Saccharomyces cerevisiae S288C: one gene and its partners. Changing the gene in region 1 together with any one later gene gives a genetic interaction. Each region holds a gene or a part of one and is shown in the gene's direction. Other genes may lie near its edges.

Region 1 (8,412 bases):
ATTTTTGATCCCATTTCATTCTCAATGTAAGAGAATGAGGACGTCCAATGCAAAAATGACAAAAGTGCCTCCAGTAAATTGCGATTGTAAGTGGGTAATAAGGAATATATTAGCAATATAACACGCTGTTTCTCATCCTCTAAATCAATTTTCGCGGCCTTAATCCATAGTTCATATAAGTCTGTCGATAAAATCGGTTGGGGAAGCTCTCTGATAAATTTCTTCAAAAGAGCAGATAATTGGATTGCATTTTCTTTCGAGAAGTCTGGAGCTTCTGTTGGATTACTGTCGATGTTAGCAGTTAGTTCTCTCAGTCTTCTGATATTTCCATTTTTCCTGAAAATACCTTCTACTGACATATCCATTTGCCTCAAAGATGATATTAGCTCGTCAATAATTATGGGGATCCTAATCTTCACTGGCCCCACACCTAAATCGGAATCAACACCCCATTTCTCGCACAACACATCTAAAGGAGCACCAAAAACAGTCTTAGTGATGGGCTTTTTAGGCTCCATGCTCATCATGATTTTCATTCTGTTCCAAAAGCTACCTGTGACTTGCTTTTCATTCGAGAAGACCATTGAGACTAAGCTAGTATAGTTAGGATCAGTCTTCGATATCAGTTGTTTACCAGCTAGCAGTGACAAACTGATAGCCCTTATCATCGAGAGTTCCATCGTACTTAATTCAGAGTAATAAACTCCGCTTTTCTTGGGAACAACATTCGAAGTTTCGTCATCGGTTTCTTTTAGTTTTTTAAAGTGTGCAAAAGCGTTAGGTCTTAGCTCCCTTGCTTGTTCAGCGGCAACAATACGTGAAATATCATCTAGTGTCAACGTCTTAGTATTACTGAAAACATTTTCACGTGTGCTCACTTGTTGGCTCGATGATGGGTCATCTGTTTGAATCACAAGATTTTTACTATCTCCTTGTTTTGTCGGGTCATTTAAATCTGTCTCTGCAGTTTCCAGTATCACTGATTTTCTAGCTTGTTGTTTGTTATGAGTGACCCGAACACTTTCTCTTCTAGATCTCAATCTTTTAATATCATTCAGTGTCCTAATGTAAGTTTGTTCCTTTAGCATAGTACTCTGTAAAGAGTTTCTGCCTACCTTGTTAGATGCTTTCGATTTCAACATTACAGTTCTTGATTTGACTAGGGCAATTTTTAGAAGAAAAATTAGTTGTGCTAGCTTAGTAACAAATTTGAAACCCGGCACAGAGGCCGGATCATCAATTGAGCAGTGAGAACATAGTATCTTTTTTTTCTCTTTATTAAAGGTGGGATCCGTCAAACTCCTCGGATTTATATTCTTATGGCATGAAGAACAAGTAAAACAAGCAATATGCCACCGGTGCTCATAAAATTGAATGCATTCCTCCTGTATGTATTTATTGCATCCAGCGCAACTATCTGTGGCGTTAACAGGAGTCTTTATATACTGAAACGGGTTATTTTCAAAAAGCTCATTTTTCTCTACTTCTCTTAAAAACCTCAACAATGGATTAACAGAATGAGTCAACTTATTGTTTTCTAGAGCCGTATATAGCCCAAATCTTGTTAACAGTTTTAGAAAATGGGCTAATCCAGTAATAACAGACATAAAAGATGAAATTGTGATAGTTTCGTTTTTGTTTTCTGTCCCTAACTTTCTTAAGAGTTGTAAATATATCATAATTTTTGTGGACAGATTTTTGGGAAACTTGCTGTATTTACTGGCCGCCATTGCGTTGTTTTCAATGCATTCTTGATCACTGTTAACTGGCATACTTTTGTTCGTCGAGAGGTTTAAAGTATCCAGTCCCCGGAAAAGACAGTCGATTTTTAGTACCAACAGACCCGTAGACTCTATGCCCTTTAACTGATCATTGCTTGTCAAATATTGAAACATATCAGAAATGCAAGAAGCTGCCTCTTCCTCAAAACGATATAAAACCGACCACGTTTTAGATAGAATAAAGTTAAACGCCTGCATTTGTTTATCTAACTCGTAGGCAGTTGGGTTTATATCTTTGTCTCCGGAATTTGGGTTATATTCCAGCTTGGGAAGGTACTGCAAACCAACAGTTTCTGCTGCTAAATTTACATGCCAATATTTATGAATTCCATAACATTCCGGATGCCAACAATGTATTTCTTCACCTTTAGGAAACTCGATATATTGATCCGATATTGGGAACTCGCACCCTTTGCAACGTTTCGAAAAATACTTGAGAAAGTGGTACTTGCAATACAATTGGTTTCCGTACATGAAGCATTTTTTAACCCCACAAGGAGTAGCACATATTGTACAAGAAAAATGCTCTTCGTCGTATCTGTAACCGAATGCGGTATAATATAATCCACGCAATGGGGTATCACATACATGACATAACAAATTATGTCTTCTAAAATAATCGTATTGGCATAACAATATAGATTCACTTGTCTTGTCTACTTGATATGGGAAGTACTTCGGTTTTAAAGGTTTCTGACAGTCTTGGCAGGTAAAACAACTTTCATGATAATATTTACCGAGAGCCTTTAAAGTTGTTTTAGTTCGTTGGCTATCGGGTATAACTAACTTGTTACAACGGGCGCATATTTTCTTCTGATTCTTCACCTGCACGGTCATCGGAGATGCAGTATTCAGCGATCGATAACCAGCAGAATTTTGAATCATTGCTCACCTCCGGTACTTGTTGTTTGATAATTTGTCTGCTCTTTTTTTCTTTGGATTTGAATAAATACGGTTGCGTATATCTGGGATAAAGGCCAAATAACAATGTTAAGGCAAAGACGGATACTGTTTTGAATGAGAAGCCCAATTGCTGGTTTCTAGCAAGAACAGCCTTGGTTGGCTCGAGAGGAATGATTTACATATTTTAAATTCTCAAATGACGTTTCAGATTCTGTTCTTATTTGTTTTCCATTTTGTTTACATCTTCCGTGCCCATCAATACCCGGCATACTTTGAAGACGAAAAAGATACTTACATAAAGATAAGGATATACTCGCCAAGATCGATTTCTTGAAGTAAATACTTTGTGGGGAGGTGTTGTAGCGATGGGCTAACCTGCAAGCATTAAGTTATATTTACTAGTGAGGTACGTTGTAGAAAAGTGCGTTACAACGAGAAGTAATTCAAACGTAAGTAGCACATGCGGGCTTCTTGATATATTTGCTAGCTCAAAAAGCTAACTGAGTACAACATGGGGGCCACCCATGTTGATTATGTTCTGGTCGTAAAGTGATCTTTTACGGGTTATATTGTTTGCCCATAATTTCAGTTTTGAGGTGCCTATCGCTTCTTCTCGTTTTGTTTTGGGAACGTTTGAGTATTTACTTTATAGTGCACTTTTTTGCGTTTTCATCTCTTGACTGTTCGAAAACCAATGTTGGTGAAGGAAATAGCTAAGTATGACCTCGCCTTAAACCAATCTTAGTATCCTGTCTCTTTGCCACAGCTATTTCCTACTTCCATTAAGATCAATTTCTTTGCTATTGGAATCACAGGCGACTTAGAATGCATTTTCTATACTAGTAATTCGCAATTTTCTTGTTTTCCACAACGGTTTAATACTAAGCAGATGATATGACAATATGGCAAACATGATATACAGAAGAGAGCTTAATGGGACCAACTAAAGTTAGATGACACCATGGTCCAATTTTCTGAGCATGAACAACGGCAGAACAATAGCTGAACTGGACCGATTTGATTTTTGAACAGGAAATCTGTAATTTTTTATGCTTTGTTTTATGTAGCGATTTTATGATTATTGTTAATTATACATCTCACAAAAGCCAAGAAGAAATCTGAAAAAGTGAGCCCACACGTAGACTATTTGACGCTCATGAAAGTTGTCAAGCCTTGTGTTAGCGTTAACGTACTTCATTTAAAACATGGCCGCTTCGTGAGAAGTGGAAGCATAGTATCGATATTTTCTATAATCTAAATTATTTTAGTGCCCATAATGCAGTATACTGTATCGTATAGGAGTTCTGACTTGCTAATGTAACACAGTAGACTTCACCTTCACTTATGGATACCATTGGCTTATTAAGACATCAGAGTTCATTAAATGAATAGTAACAATCCTTGCGCAAAAAAAGGCGTCGATGACGCACTTTTGCGTTCAAGTTTTATATACTTGGAAAGCTATGACTGATGAGACGGACCTGTTTCGCATAGAAATTCGGTGCTTAACATGTAATTGCACCTTTGTTTTTGAGAAATCCATGAATTTCGCGGTAAAGGCTCGATTAATGATTATTCTATATATATGTACTATAAGCCGATTATCGCAGTTTTTCCAGCCTCCTTAGTAAATTACCCACTGTTTTAAGATGAGTCCTACTGACGGGTTACATTTTTATAGTCTTTCTTCTCAGGCGACCCAAAGTTCTGTCTGACTGTCTCGTATTATATGTAGAAACGATAAAAAATTATATGGTGGCTACTGCGACCACCAATCCAAAGTGTCATACCTTGAGAATTAGACAATTGTATACAACACTAGCATGAACAGTATGGTAAATTTGGCGAGAGAATGAGAAGGCCTTGTATTATGTATTCCCGCATTGGTTTCTGTACCTTTCCCTTGCAGAAAACCACATGCATAAAAGTCGCTTGCCACATAACTCGCATTTGTGAAGCCATGCGAACCACACGTAAACGTTTCAGGACTTTCAGCAGGCTGCCCAGTGAGAAATGTATCATAAAAAATTGAATAAGTTGGGTTCTTTTCTTTAGCAGTTTTCTTTCCTTCAGCTACCCCACAATTATAAATTTCTGTCGGCGTATAGGTTTGATTAATATAGCCCTTGCTACCGCACTTAAACAATAGAGCATTTTCAGTTACGTTCATTTTTTTGTGTCTCTATTATAGATTTTTCTTGGGTGTGATGCAAAAATCGCTGATAGGAATTATAATAAAGGAATATATATATATATATATATATATATATATATATATAGGTACTAATTGGCTTTTCTTATACGCCTCCTATTGATTCACTGCCGAAAGTGCCCTGTTATATACGACAATCATACGCCTGTTTGCAAATAGTCAACATATTCAACTCGGAAGGTAAAAGATGAAAAGGCAATTTTTTTGATTTTCTAAGAAAATGCGCAGCGGGCAGAAGGGTCTTCGCAGGCAACTGAGTAAAGAATATGAGAAAAGCCTCTAAATGTTGAACCCTGAAAAAGTTTCATCTATTTTTGATAAAGACTTTTCAATAGTGCAGGATCACGCAAGAAAAAAAAAGGTCCTTAAGAGCAATTGTGGGAAAATATAATACAATGCTTGCGTTAAAACTTCTAGTTACCTTTTACAACCGAAAGTAAACACTAGCATGGGCTTGGAGACGAGCAGCGCAAATTATATAGTTTGAGATAGAACGCTTTCTCCGGTATTGCCTGGGGAAAAGGAGTCACATGATTAGAATCGGCGAAATTTTTTTTCCAAAATTAACAGCAGGGTTGTCTGGATGTTTTATTGAAAATAGAAGCCAATGACAAACACAAGAGGCCAGTAGTATATTAATTTTAATGTGCATTCTAAAGCATCCTCACGTCTTTCAATCTGAAGTTACTGTTCGAGAAGGAGAAGAAAAGAAGGAAAAATGAAGGATATGAATAATAACATGAGTACTAGTTACGTCCAATCTGGTCACACCATATATTGATGCATCTTATGCGCCATAACTTCTTTTTTTGTAGCTATAATTTGTTGCCAGAAAAATGAAAACTTTTCAAAATCAACCAGTTTCCAATTTTTCTGCAACTCGTTATTTATGAAGATAGATGATGATTGACCCCCTTTCTCCAAAAATCGATGCAGCATTGGGTTATTTTTTGAGCTTTCTAATTATAGGGCCATTTTCTAGCAAGACTGTATAGCACATGCTCGCAAAGAACATGGCGTAATGTTCATAAGAAACAAATTTTGTAAGTTTCTTGTGCCTTTTGAGTTTGAAATCATTGACCAGAACAATGAGAACTCTAAACACGACAAATGGATCTTAAATCAATTTTCTTGAAAACATCTTCCAGTTTCGATATTCGCACATTTGCCGGTAAAATAGTGCAATCTGCCTATACCTTTAAAATGGGATCTTGAACGCGTACCTGAAGGTTTTTTTAAATAAGGCCGAACCTAAATGTTGCCTTCAAAATTAACCTGTATCAAATTTTGAAGCCGAAGTTGGTATCCTCACATTGTCTAACCTCATGGTCTCCTAAAGTCCGGCGATCACTTTCCGTTGCGTGACTATTGATGATCAGACTGTCAACAATGTCGTTCCGGGCCTCCATAGCTTGAAGAATTTTCGTTGACGGAACTAGAGGAATGGCAGATGGAGATGACCTTAGTTTCATGTCGCCTTGATAGTTATCAAAGAGTACAGAAACAAGACGTCTCTTGCTCAATAATAAGGATTGGATCAGGTGCTTACAAATTTTATTCGTCATACAAACAATTACTAATATTTTTTTAATATTAAGCGTACCCCTATTTGATTGGCTCTCTTCTAAATTCATACGTTTTAAAATCCGCTTTCAACCGTCAACATAAAATTAGTAAGCAGACCTCGTTCCAAGACCCAACTAAGTTGCACTAAATATCCTCGAACAAATTGGGGGCAGATTTTTGAACCATATAAAAGTCATGACAATATTTCCAGATCAAGGACAGTTGCAGTTCTTCCTTTCATCGGCCAGCTGACGAATTGACTGAGCGGCTTTGTATTTCACTAGAATACACTTCCTATAGCTACAAAATATTATTCAATAATATTAGTGAATTATTTAAACCTCTACCTGAACCACCTACCGAGTTGGGACGTCTCAGGGTTCTTTCTAAAACTGCCGGCATAAGAGTTTCACCGCTAATTCTGGGAGGAGCTTCAATCGGCGATGCATGGTCAGGCTTTATGGGCTCTATGAATAAGGAACAGGCTTTTGAACTTCTTGATGCTTTTTATGAAGCAGGAGGTAATTGCATTGATACTGCAAACAGTTACCAAAATGAAGAGTCAGAGATTTGGATAGGTGAATGGATGAAATCAAGAAAGTTGCGTGACCAAATTGTAATTGCCACCAAGTTTACCGGAGATTATAAGAAGTATGAAGTAGGTGGCGGTAAAAGTGCCAACTATTGTGGTAATCACAAGCATAGTTTACATGTGAGTGTGAGGGATTCTCTCCGCAAATTGCAAACTGATTGGATTGATATACTTTACGTTCACTGGTGGGATTATATGAGTTCAATCGAAGAAGTTATGGATAGTTTGCATATTTTAGTTCAGCAGGGCAAAGTCCTCTATTTGGGTGTGTCTGATACACCTGCTTGGGTTGTTTCTGCGGCAAACTACTACGCCACATCTCATGGGAAAACTCCTTTTAGTATCTATCAAGGTAAATGGAATGTGTTGAACAGGGACTTTGAGCGCGATATCATTCCAATGGCCAGACATTTTGGTATGGCTCTAGCCCCATGGGATGTTATGGGAGGTGGAAGATTTCAGAGTAAAAAAGCAATGGAGGAACGGAAGAAGAATGGAGAGGGTCTGCGTACTGTTTCGGGTACTTCTAAACAGACGGATAAAGAGGTTAAGATCAGTGAAGCATTGGCCAAGGTTGCTGAGGAACATGGCACTGAGTCTGTTACTGCTATTGCTATTGCCTATGTTCGCTCTAAGGCGAAAAATGTTTTCCCATTGGTTGGTGGAAGGAAAATTGAACACCTCAAACAGAACATTGAGGCTTTAAGTATCAAACTGACACCAGAACAGATAGAATACTTAGAAAGTATTATTCCTTTTGATGTTGGTTTTCCTACTAATTTTATCGGTGATGATCCGGCTGTTACCAAGAAGGCTTCACTTCTCACGGCAATGTCTGCGCAGATTTCCTTCGATTAATCAGATTTCTTTTTTGGTGCGTTTGTGTAAGAAATATGTCCTTATATATTCCACGCTATCTACTTTTATACTTTTGAATAAGCCGCACCTAAAAACAGTCTTTATCCCTCACCTAATTCAGGCGTAAATTGTGCAGGTTACAGCATTTGAAGTGGTAAATCGAGGCAACACAAGACTTTCGATACTTGGAGGCAAGTACGATAATTACAAGGGAAAAGAAGCTGTAATAAAAGGCTCATAAATAATATCTTAATAGTAAATATCTAAATATCAGGGAGGAAAAAAAACCTAATGGGAAATCATAAACAAGTCGTAGAGGAAGGCTACGCTCGAGGAGTGACGAAGTGCGTTTAAGCTGGAAGAGCCAATCTCTTGAAAGTACCTTCCTGTCTGCATTTTTCTTGATGAATAGCCATCAATCTTTGGGCTTCCAAAGGATCAGAAACCTCTTCTGGTTCTGGCCAGGACAGGTATTCATTAGTGTAGTTCGAGACATAGTC
Region 2 (6,412 bases), on another chromosome or scaffold:
TGAAGACTTCCCATTCTGGTAAACATGAAAATTCCAGATTTGAAAAGCTGAGGAAGAGAAAATACCATGCTTGGGGCAAATTTGCCGATATCAACGATTTACCAGTTGAAATAATTGCCAAAATACTTTCTGAATTCGAGTTAGGTCGTGATCAAAAGACACTCGTAAGATGTCTATACGTATCGAAGAAGTTTTATAAGGCGACAAAGATCGTCCTTTATAGGCTACCTTACTTCACTTCCACTTACAGAGTGGCGCAGTTTGTCACCTCACTAAGATTACATCCGGATAACGGGGCATACGTGAAAGTATTGGACCTATCACACTTGAAGCCGGGAATTATAGGCCAAGACTCGAAGGATTCTCAAGGCCTAGACGATGATGGCCACTCAAGGCGTCACAGACGCCGTCGCCGCAGATCTACTAACACAAGTTTGAATCTACCTCCAGCTACTCCAACATCTACCATTTCTAACGAGGATGATGCCAATAGCGGATTAATCAAAGACGACGCTTCAAATGGCAGTGAAGTTGAAGACTTGGCATTAGCTGGTTGGAGAGACTGGAGATACAGAAATGAACCCCTTTATAGCTCTCCTCTGTTGAACAGCTTTAAACTGAAAAAAGTGGTTTCTCGTTCTTCTTCTATCACTTCTACATCTTCTGGAAATTCCACCGGTGTTCACTCTACAAGGAGACAACGTTCCAATAGTTCCGTTGCTTCCATAACGACGAGTATCATGTCATCCATCTATAACACCTCCCATGTCTCATTGTCTTCAACCACGTCTAATACCAGCAATGGTAACATCTCTTCTGGTAGTAATCTGTCAAGAGTTTCCACTGCTGGATCATTGAAAAAAGCTTCTGCGAAGTCCACAAGGTCATCTCCTCAGAAAGCAAAACCTATATCTGACATTACGTCATCTTCCTGGTTTAGAATGAGGTTAAGTTCAAGAAATAGAAAGGCAAGGACAGCTAATACGATTAATTTAAAGAACTCGAAGGATAAGTCTGACGATGACTTTAAAGTTTTAAAGCACGATTCGGGGCATCCATCCAATTATCGTTCTTCGACATTAAAATTTAGCATTGAACAACCATTTAGTACGCATCATCCGTATGCCAACAAATTTCTTTTAAAGTACGCTCCTTATAAAGATCTGCCCCTAGGTTATATTTTACATATGCTGAACCTGTGTCCTAACCTTGTTGAACTAAACCTTTCCAATTTAGTTATTTGTACCGATTTCAAATTAATCAACCAAAGATCCGAAAGAAGAAGGATGACATCTTCACTGTTGCCCGCTGTCCAGGAGTCTAGTGTTTCTGCAGGCCCTGAGAAAGATTTAGAAATTGTCTATATGACCGATTCTGGCAAAGGTTATGAATATTATGAGGGGTTAAGCAAGAAACACTCACGTTCTTCAAGCCTAGGTACCAATCCATCTAGTTGGATTGGAGGTCAGGCGAATTGGACAGATTACCCACCTCCAATCGATGCACAAACGAAAACAAGAGAGGAACACAGACGCAACAATACCTTGAACAATAAGAACGTCGTATTAAAGAAGCTAAACCCTTTTGAAATTTTTGAAATGATCTGCAATAGAAATGAAGAAAAAGGTGGCTACTGCTCCTTAACTAAGGTGAAAATGAATGACATTGTGTGGTGCAGGCAATATATGGTAAAGTATTTTGTAATGAGGACGTTTCGCCAGCATTTGGATTATAAATCCATGGAAAACAACTCTTATGAAAGACACTTATTCAGTTTCCGGGACTCTGGCTTGGATAGAAATTTTTCCTGGGCTTGTAATGCCAAATTGCATGAATTTGTCGCATTGATGGTTATGGATCATCTTTCAAATTTAGATGATTTAGGATTAGAAGAGCTTTTTAATATCAAGTCCGAAAAGCTATATATAAAAAACTATTGTTGCCGAGACCCGGATATTCTCGAAATATCAAACTTATTTGATATTAGATATGGGGCCGGATCTGAGGCTGATGCTACTTCTGATTCCAATCTCGAAGCAGAATCTTTACAATTCAGGTTGACAATATTAAAAACAGAAAAGCCAACTTCATTTTGGCTCACAAAAGTTTCCAAAGATTATGTTTCTTTAGTGGTTAAATTATGTGTGGATGATGACATTGATATGGACAAAATGAAAGTTGGAAAACCAACTTTGAGAATAGACAGTATTACACACAATTTGATTAGTAGGTTAAAGGAGTTGAGGAGAGTTGATCTAAGGAGAAATGTTGGCGAAAATAACTACTATGCTGAAAGCATCATATAACGACTGCTCTCTTTTAACAGCATACGTTCTGTTAATTTATTTGGCCAAATATTATTGATGTTTATTTTTTTCTTTTTTGCATAGCCTTTCTACATTTCATGGCTTTATTTATTTATATTTATTTTTCGTTTCCTATTTTTTTGCATACATAGACACTACCTTTGATTTTTGCTTGTAAGATGTACGATATAAAGTATACTATGAAAAATTTGAAAATATTGGTCTTAGTTACTTTTTCTGGTTTGTTTTATCAATTCATGTAGCAGTGTGCACGAAAATCTAGTTACGCAATGTGAAATCTAGAAAACCTTCTACAATTTGGAATTATCAATCACCTCTCGTTGAAAGTTTTCACACACCAATTCTGGACGGTCGAAGCATAAATTATGAGAACAGTCAGGTAAAATAATCACTTTACGAAGACATTCTTTATTTATAGTTTGTTTGTAAAATTCCAAATTTTCAATAGGAGCTATAGGATCTTTTTCAGCGCCAAATATTATAATTTTCTGTTTCATATCCGTTTGCGTCAATACACCATTGAATTTAACCCAATCAACAGTTTCCCATCCTAGTAAATAACCTATGATGGTTCTACTTTTGTTGCTTATGTTGTTTTTAAATTGCCAGAACTTCCTGTATTTCAACTTGACATCATCACCTTGTTGATAAAAATACTGCTTGATGCCGGAACTTTGTAGACCTTTTACCTGATCGAATTTGTTTCTATAAACGTCAAATAGCCATGGCAATTTAAACACACCATAGAGAGCCCACTGGATAATATGTTTATCCTTAGAAAGCTGCTCGATATGTGCTTTGGGGGGCGTCAACAAAACTAGCGTTTGTACCGCTTTTGTATCAGCCATGTGCTGCTCGTAAAGATGACATGCCAGAAAACAACCCATAGAATGCCCTACAAGCACTATCTTATGACCGTTAAATGGATTTACGTTATCATTATTCGGCACCGCTGTAGACCATTTTCTTAAGACGTCACATACAAGAACGAAAATAAGTTCCACCACTTTCAGCATGGGGTAGTCGCTCCATTCTGAACTATGACCAAAGCCGGGCAGATCTAACGTCAAAAATGCCTTTTGATCAGAGTCCACAAGCTCGAGTAAGGGTTCAAATTGTTCTAAGTTGCCAGCCAACCCAGGCACGAAGACGAAAACAGTATCACCCCGTATCCCTTTATCGCTCAAGTTGTGACACGTCCTTATTCTTGAATTTCGATCCGATAGTTGTACATTAAAAAACTCCTCATGTTCTGCGATAAACTTCAACCTAAAGTCCAAATCTACCTCTGGTTTGCGAATGTAAGCTACCAAATCAGCTGCATTTTCTGCATTTTGAACAATCTCTTCTAGCGTCTTTCCAGAAAGGGGCTCACAGGACCAACTTTTTGTTGCTTCTGCACGTTCTGCCATATTCATTACCAAGAGAAAAAGTTCTCGGTTTAAGGCTTTCTTCTAACGTTGAGTTACGATCCAAATGCGACTGTACCATCTTGGTAGTTCTTTATTAATGAACCCTTTAAAATTGCCGGGTTAAAAGAATGGCGCGTCCTCTTGAAACTTTTCGAAGAAAACAACGTAACTGATGGTTAAAATTTGCATAAAGAAGGTCAGGCCTCGTCTGCGGACAACAACACTATCAATATCCAGCGTGCAATTATGTCTGTGCACCACAAAAAGAAGCTAATGCCCAAATCGGCATTGCTGATTAGAAAATACCAAAAGGGAATCAGATCATCATTCATTGGGCTCATCATAGTGTTATCCTTTTTATTTTTCATGAGTGGCTCAAGGTCCCCAGAGGTACCAATAGCTCAGGGCACCAGTGTCAGTCGTGTAGCCAGTAAGGATTATTTGATGCCGTTTACTGACAAGTCACAAGGAGTAATCCATCCCGTGGACGATGGAAAGAAGGAAAAGGGTGTTATGGTCACATTGGCCAGGAATTCAGATTTATGGAACTTGGTAAAATCTATTAGACATGTTGAAGACAGGTTCAATAACAGATATCACTACGATTGGGTGTTCTTGAATGACCAACCATTTAGTGATGAGTTTAAACGTGTTACCAGTGCATTGGTTTCAGGCAAGGCAAAATATGGGACAATCCCAAAGGACCATTGGTCCATTCCATCTTGGATCGATACTGAAAAATTCGATGAGAAAAGGCTTGCAATGGGAAAATTGGATATTCCATATGGTAGTTCCGTGCCTTACCGTCACATGTGCCGTTTCCAGTCAGGGTTCATATGGAGACACCCACTACTGGAGGAGTACGAATGGTTTTGGAGAGTGGATACCGATATCACTTTATTCTGTGATATTCAGTATGACATATTCAAGTTTTTAAAAGTAAATAACAAGAAATATGGATTCATTCTTTCGGTAAGTGAATATGAGCGCACAATCCCAACCTTGTGGGAAACGACAAAGAAATTCATCAAGAAAAATCCTAAATTCTTACACAAAAATAACCTCATGAAATTCATTTCGAATGATGATGGTGACACTTATAATATGTGTCATTTCTGGACCAACTTCGAAATCGGCTCTTTAGACTTCTTCAGGTCCGATGCATACAGAGAATACTTTGATTACTTAGACAGTTCTGGTGGATTCTTCTACGAAAGATGGGGGGATGCGCCAGTGCACTCCATCGCTGCCTCTTTGTTCTTGGACAAGTCAGAAATCCATTTCTTTGACGGTCTTGGATTCCATCATCCAGATTTCACCTCTTGTCCTATCGAACAGAAGATTAGACTACAAAACAAGTGTATCTGCGAACCTAGCAAGGACGTCACCTGGACTCCTGACTACTTCTGTACTAGAAAGTACTTTTCAGCAGGAAATTACAAGCTTCCACCAGGAATTTAAAAACCAAACTACAAATAGCGCCTGCTCCGTCAAAACAGGTGCTAAAACGTCAACATGTATCTATCTATATACACATAATTCAATGTAGTAGCCACCTCACTTTATTCTAGTGCCTTCTTGGGTTCAAAAATGGGTGCGGTGCGGCCGGAGATGAAGAGAGAAAAGCAAAATTGTATCTAAACCAGCCTACAAAAACACAAACTTGATATTATAAAGAATCAAGCATCTTACTGAACTTTTGTCCTCTACAGAAAAGCGAAAAAACTCTAAGAATAGAGAACTAGAGTGGTGTTCATATTTCTAGTCACCATGGCGTTTGAGGATTATTTTTCTTTCCAGATATTCTTCATTTTCTTAAGGGAATCCTTAGAAATTGTTGTCATTGTTTCTATCCTGTTGACGATCGTCAAACAAGGTCTGTCTGTTGAGGACGACAGCCCGTTTGAAGGAAGTTCCTCTTCTGCTGGTCTTCCAAGTCCAAATACGAACACAAACGCAGATTCGACCACTGCCTTCTTACAAGCAGGGCCTTCAGACGGTAATGCTATTGGAACGTCCGCTACGGCTGCTAATAATAAATCGAGGCCGCTAAATGTGGAGGAAGAAGAAGAAATTTACGAGTACTCTAATGAGCTTAGAGACCAGGACCGCGAGTCCGATGAACATACGGCTGACAACGTTAAGCTATATCAGAAATTAAAAATACAAATTCTAGCGGGCGGCGCATTTGGTTTGTTGCTGTGTATGTTAATCGGGGGTGCGTTTGTTAGTATCTTTTATCATATTGGAACCGACTTATGGACACTGAGTGAACATTATTATGAAGGTGTCTTAAGTCTTGTCGCGTCCGTTATTATTTCTGTCATGGGGTTGTTTTTTTTAAGAATGGGGAAGTTAAGAGAGAAGTTCAGAGTGAAATTAGCTTCTATCATTTATTCAAAGGACAATAATTTGCTGGGAAACAAAACCCAAAAAGGTGTGAAATTCAGTGAAAAGTACTCCTTCTTCATATTACCATTTATAACGACTTTGAGAGAAGGGTTAGAAGCTGTTGTATTCATTGGAGGTATCGGTATTGACCAACCACTATCCTCGATTCCCCTCTCTATGGTCCTTGCTACTGCAATCAGTACGGTGTTCGGTATTTTTTTCTTCAGGTACTCAAGTTCTCTTTCACTTAAGATATGCCTTGTAGTCGCCACCTGCTTCCTC
Region 3 (6,007 bases), on another chromosome or scaffold:
AGCAACAAGTTACATCCACAATAATACGCGGAGTTATGAGATATTACAGTACCCTCCCCAAAAATATAAGGTTTACCGCAAGATCGTATCAGGAGAATGAACGGGTCTCTTAGTTTTTATCCACTATTCTTTCCACTCACGCCAATATACTAACCAATTGAAATGCTCATAACCAGAATGAACAGGCCGCATGCATTCTTTAGCCAACTTTCGATGAAAATACCCACTATGCAATGGTAAATTTCCGAAACAAAAAATTATACTTCAGTGTTCCCACAAAATAACGATATGTTTCTTTTCATTTTTCAATGAAAGCATGATTTTTTCCCTTCCAATGCCAAAATGCTAGTCCTATAAATGAAAAAAAAAGCTTTCTGCTATAAGAACAGCAAGGGGCATTTCAACTTACACATAATAGAAGGTGAGATAAAGACCATCGTGAATCCTAATAGAAACTGCGGGTTTCTTAGGATCATGGGTCGCGCAAAACCGCCAAGTTTACCATCAAAAAGCTACAAAGTTCAATTTACCCAATAGAATTCTAACGCCAAAGATTTGTAGTGATTCATATGAAATTTTCTTTATGCATCCAGTTATTACTATTGAGTTTCTCTCAAGATACATTCTCCAAAAAAAAAGCCTGTTCTCGCACAAACGACCTTAAGAAAGGTTTAAAACAGCTGTCACATTACATTATAGTAGATAAAAACACGAATGGCATTTTCTTAACTTGCAGGTGTACTCTCTATAGCATGTTTAACATATTTTCACCTCTTTATTGCAAACACTTTGGCGTTTCATATTCTGTCCATGTATATGCACCACAATGATTTTATTTTCTTTTGTATGCATTTTGTGACGATTTGACAACTGATGCATCATTTCGTTCCATCTATTTCGCTGTTCATGGCTTCTGTCTCTTTCTCTGTCTTTTTTAGCCATCTCGCAACTAGCTGGGAATGTTCTTTTTTCAGATCCGAGAGTTTTTGTTGTAAAACATTATTTTCAATGGTTCCACTAATCAATTCGTCATTCAACCTTTCCGTATTCTTATTTTTCAACGCAATAACTTCTTTCAATCTTCGTATTTCTTGCTCCTTACTTTTCAGTTCTTTTTGTAGAATTGCCAGTGTATTCAATAAAGCATCGTCATGGCTGACAATGTTGCCACCAATGGCGCCACTATTATCTTGAAACAACTCATTTAAATGGGCCTCCTTGTCGTTTCGATCTGTTAGTCTACGAATTAACAAATCATCCATGCTATCTGTTTGTGGATTGCTTCTTTCCTCCTTTGCTTTCTTCCTTTCTGTTATAATGAAATTGCCCATGGAATATGCGCCCTTAATACAGATTCGCGCAGGTTAATAACAAAAATCAACGTTAAATAAAGGTCAACTACAAACAGAATAAGTAAAAGCGAGCAAGTGTAGTAGCAATTTAGCACAACATATAAAACGCTATTATAATGGATGTTGTGCAGCAGAAACAGGATAAACAGTTGCAGCATCAAACACAAGAGCAGCAGCAGATACGAGAGGACCAGCAGGAAGTCCCACCCCAACGTCCACGACAACAAAACAGATGGAAACCCTGGTGGAATTCCACTGCCGACGATGAGCCAAACACGGGAAGAATTGCAGAATATCCTAATGGACAAGGAAGGAGTAGTCCGACAACGGATTTTCAAGATAGCGTGAACTCGAATAATGACAATAAAGGGATATGGTCTAAAATCGCTTCTTTTGCAACATCCAGATATAGAAGTGCCCCAATTGTTGTTGATGATAATACCCGCTACTCTCAACTAAACACTGAACAAATCAACTTCTTGGAAAATGAGGCTAAGGATATAATTTCAAAAAAGTCGAAATCATGGTGTTGGTACGAAGCAATTCCACATATATCAAATTCATCAAACATAATTGATTCCATAGATACCCCAGGAATAATCAGTGTCTCTGGTACAGGATCAGCCAAATGCCCATTGCCATTAAACAAATATCCTGGGGAGGGAGGTAACCCTGGGTATAATGTATTTATTAATGATTCTTTAATCCTACCATCAGATAACCCTTTGAATTTTCTGCACGTCCAACCACTAAGAACTAAGGTATTGAATACTATCAAAAATTACTATAACTTCCCTAATGAGCAACATCTCTATTTAAGACAAAAAAAAACCGCATTACTGAAGGATAAGAGAATTATTATAATATCCGTCGTGGGGGATTTACCAGAAAAGTATGAGCAGCGCTCATTAGAATCACAAAGATCGGCTTATTATCTTTCTAGAAAATTGTCACAAAATCTAGCGCAAGAACAACCTCAAAGAGTCTTGACCCTATCGTTCCAGTGCCCACTGCATAATCAAGATTTAATACCTACATATAAAGAATGTGTAGAGTTACTGAACCACTGGGCTCATCTTTTCAAAGAGGTAGATTCAATTTTTTTTGTGGGCGTTTATCACAGCGTTCCCTTAACTTTGCTATTAGCGAAATATATCGTGCAAAATAATGAAGTTCTAGAGTTTGATGAAAACACTACAGTGAGTGTATTGAGTTTCCAGTCATGTTTACAAGGCTATCGATTTTGGGACCACAGCACTGACTTTACTAGCAATAGTTATAATAACTTGGGTTCCAATTCCAGTACTAACGAAAATGATAGTAATGATCATGATTCAAATAATGATTTCACAACGAAGAGCCAACAAATCAAAGAAAAACAGTTATTTCAGGGCATTGACAAAAAGCAACAAGACACATTATCTAAAATCAAAAATTATAGGCGGATAGATTCTAGTGAATCTAAACTAGTTCAGGATGCATTGGATTGGCTCTTGTTCAATTGGGATACGTTTCGACTGACATTTTTTGGTAAGCTTTATGATAATTTTATGACAATTTCAGAAAAACTTGCTATAGATTATAATCACCCTAAAATCTTGAGAAATTTATGGTGCAATGGGAAGTACATGGGCATTGATTTAAAGAATGCTAATAATTTAAACCTTGATACCGATGATGAAGCAACTAGTAACATTAATGACGTCCATGTAAGGACCCCTAATTTTGAATCGAGATTGAAGATTCCCACCAACAGACTTTTCGAAATAACCTTATGGGATATTTTGATGATAACGGAGAATTTAGGATATAAACAATTTATTCCCATAATTAATTTACTAAGTCCTTTTTTTATTTCAAGGTCATTTAATGATTACACATTGCCTCCAAATATTAGGAAACAGTACCAGAACAGCAACAAAATCTGGCTTCAAGAAATGGACAGTAAGTGGAAAATGAATGGTCATCAACTCAATTACGACCAAAGGGAGGGTGAAAGTCTCGGTTCATCATCGGAATCATTATTGCCAGAGAATATTTCTACGGTAAAGGATTTTTTGCAGTTTGTGCAGTATCAAAACGAAAAATCTTCGGATTTCGTAAGGATATATTCAGACATTTATGATGACGATAAAGTCTATAAATGCTTTCTGTACAATACAATATTCACGAAAAACCCATTAAGTCGTAAGCATTTACGTTTAAACATCGACCTCGACACTCCTACAAGCATATTGAATACTGTCAATCAATATGATTTGGTATGGAAAATTCATGATTCCTTCTCCAAATTGATTCAATTGAAAAATTTACCGCAGCGAGAGATACCACATGCGTTGAGGCTCTCCATCTCATTAAACTGCTTCTTGGATAGTACCACGAGTACTTCTGGCCCTGTTTTTCAGAGGGACACCGTGGAAGCTTTGAGAAGATTAACAGAGATTTGGCGAACTTACCAGGATTGGTCTCCACCAACAAGGGGTTTGAAACACCTACGTGATATCCTGAGCGTTTTAGCCATGTATGACAACCCCAAAAACTTGATTAATGATGTTCGACGTACATAGTAGATTCGTATATAGCGGACCGCGTAACATATTATGGTATTTGTATAGTGGGTAACCCGCAGAGTAGGCTGGAAAGTATTCGTGAAGAACATAAAGGAAGCTGGCAGAAGTTCTTTTCATACACCTCTACTTCCAGAAGCCATAATAGCAGCAACGCTGTTTCTGCAATATAACTTGTGGAAGGTCTATAATAGGAAGAACATGTCTTTCACTGAGGATCAAGAAAAAATCGCGCTAGAAATACTGTCAAAAGACAAGCATGAGTTTTACGAAATTTTGAAGGTAGATAGGAAAGCCACAGATAGTGAGATCAAGAAGGCATACAGAAAACTAGCAATCAAATTGCATCCTGATAAAAACTCTCATCCAAAAGCGGGAGAAGCTTTCAAAGTAATTAATAGGGCATTTGAAGTACTAAGCAATGAGGAAAAGCGCAGTATTTATGACAGGATAGGTAGGGATCCTGACGATAGACAAATGCCATCCAGAGGTGCTGCTTCAGGGTTCCGAGGAAGTGCAGGTGGGTCTCCAATGGGTGGCGGATTTGAAGACATGTTTTTCAATTCACGTTTCGGTGGTCAAAGAGCTGGACCACCAGAGGACATATTCGACTTTTTGTTCAACGCAGGCGGCAGCCCATTCGGCGCTTCACCATTTGGGCCTTCTGCTTCCACTTTTTCATTTGGAGGCCCCGGTGGTTTCAGAGTTTATACTAATAATCGTGGTGGCTCACCGTTCATGCGTCAACAACCCCGCTCAAGACAGCAGCAACAACAAGCAGAAGAAAATGCAGTGAATTCGCAATTAAAAAATATGCTCGTTCTTTTCATCATCTTTATTGTTCTTCCTATGATTAAAGATTACCTGTTTAGTTAAACACAATATTTTTACTGTCATTTTTTTATTATTTTCCAACGTTAGTCAAAGTTGTACTATAAAATAAAACTACAAGGAGCAAGCAAAATTGAAAAAACGCATTTGTATACTAGATGACATTTAGGTCATTCCTTCAGGCTTCCTGGCTATGTTTTATTTTGTTCCACAGTTTACCAGAAGGACATAATGGTATTAGAATTTTAATATATCGAGGAAATTAAATCAGACAGTATAATACTTATAAACATCTTTATTTTCTGATAACTAATCATAGCATTTACGCCATACATTTACTTTTTCTTTTGACACCGAAAGTAATCAAGCCACTTTTATAATTAGAGTTAGTTTATAGATAGTATTTAAAATTTGTGAAGATTTCCCATGCGTTGTGCCTTGCTTTCTCTCAAAATACATCTTGTTAATTTTCTAATGTGTGGATGCCGAAATAATATTCGACTCAACAAATCAAGTAAGTCTTCTAAGCTCGCTACTAATTTCCAATAAAAGGTATATATATAAAAATGTTCTCAATAATGTAATTAAACAAGATCACGAGAATTACTCCAGATCCTTTAGCCTTGCCTGAATAATCTGGTTCACATCTTCATCTTCCACATTCCTCGATGGAAGCTTCAGTTTCTTCGTCAGTTTAGTAGTTATATTGCCGCCAATACTGTCTTTACTGCTTTGTGTTTTCAAGGATGGTCGCTTGATTAACTTGCCACTAGGTAATACCTCGTATCGTTCAGAGCTCTTTTTAGAAGAGTTTCCAAAGAAATTTTTTTTTGAGGAATGGTCTACATTCCCATTTGACATTGAATATATGCTGCTGTTATGAGTTTTTGCACTTGCACGTGAATTAGTTCTTGGCCTTGAAAGAACTTTGTCTGTGTACCTTGTGAAAGTACTGGGATCTTTATCCCACGTCCATCCTTGCCTCATTTCGCTATAGGCTCCTAGTTCCAGCTTCTTTCTGATATCACTTTTTTGTTCCAGCTCAGCAAAAATATCAGAATCTGATGGCCATATCATAACTTTGAATGTTTTGTAAACTATATCTAAAGTGATAGGTAACAGTGCCAACACCAAGCTAGTACACCAGAATGTAATGTCTTTACCAAAATGATTGTAAAAGCCATATGCTACATCATATATTTGGTCAGTATTATTCAAAATAGGAAGGGCACAACACCACACTAACCAACCTCCACA

The links.
Region 2: mutations in AAD4 (region 1) and KTR3 together harm fitness more than expected from each alone (negative genetic interaction), as found in Saccharomyces cerevisiae (2 studies listed by BioGRID).
Region 3: mutations in AAD4 (region 1) and HLJ1 together harm fitness more than expected from each alone (negative genetic interaction), as found in Saccharomyces cerevisiae (2 studies listed by BioGRID).

What each region holds. Positions count from the first base shown.
Region 1 is NC_001136.10:17,077-25,488, reverse strand, and holds AAD4 (putative aryl-alcohol dehydrogenase), read left to right. Parts: upstream 1-6,922; coding exon 6,923-7,912; downstream 7,913-8,412. Other genes in the region: GTPase-activating protein LRG1, read right to left, coding at 1-2,666; YDL241W (uncharacterized protein), read right to left, coding at 4,483-4,854; YDL242W (uncharacterized protein), read right to left, coding at 6,177-6,530; THI13 (4-amino-5-hydroxymethyl-2-methylpyrimidine phosphate synthase), read right to left, coding at 8,263-8,412.
Region 2 is NC_001134.8:629,637-636,048, forward strand, and holds KTR3 (mannosyltransferase KTR3), read left to right. Parts: upstream 1-3,985; coding exon 3,986-5,200; downstream 5,201-6,412. Other genes in the region: COS111 (Cos111p), read left to right, coding at 1-2,306; LDH1 (triacylglycerol lipase), read right to left, coding at 2,618-3,745; FTH1 (Fth1p), read left to right, coding at 5,510-6,412. UniProt on the Saccharomyces cerevisiae protein: Possible glycosyltransferase that transfers an alpha-D-mannosyl residue from GDP-mannose into lipid-linked oligosaccharide, forming an alpha-(1->2)-D-mannosyl-D-mannose linkage.
Region 3 is NC_001145.3:573,598-579,604, forward strand, and holds HLJ1 (type I HSP40 co-chaperone HLJ1), read left to right. Parts: upstream 1-4,120; coding exon 4,121-4,795; downstream 4,796-6,007. Other genes in the region: ATG16 (Atg16p), read right to left, coding at 879-1,331; CVM1 (Cvm1p), read left to right, coding at 1,469-3,919; aminophospholipid-translocating P4-type ATPase DNF3, read right to left, coding at 5,354-6,007.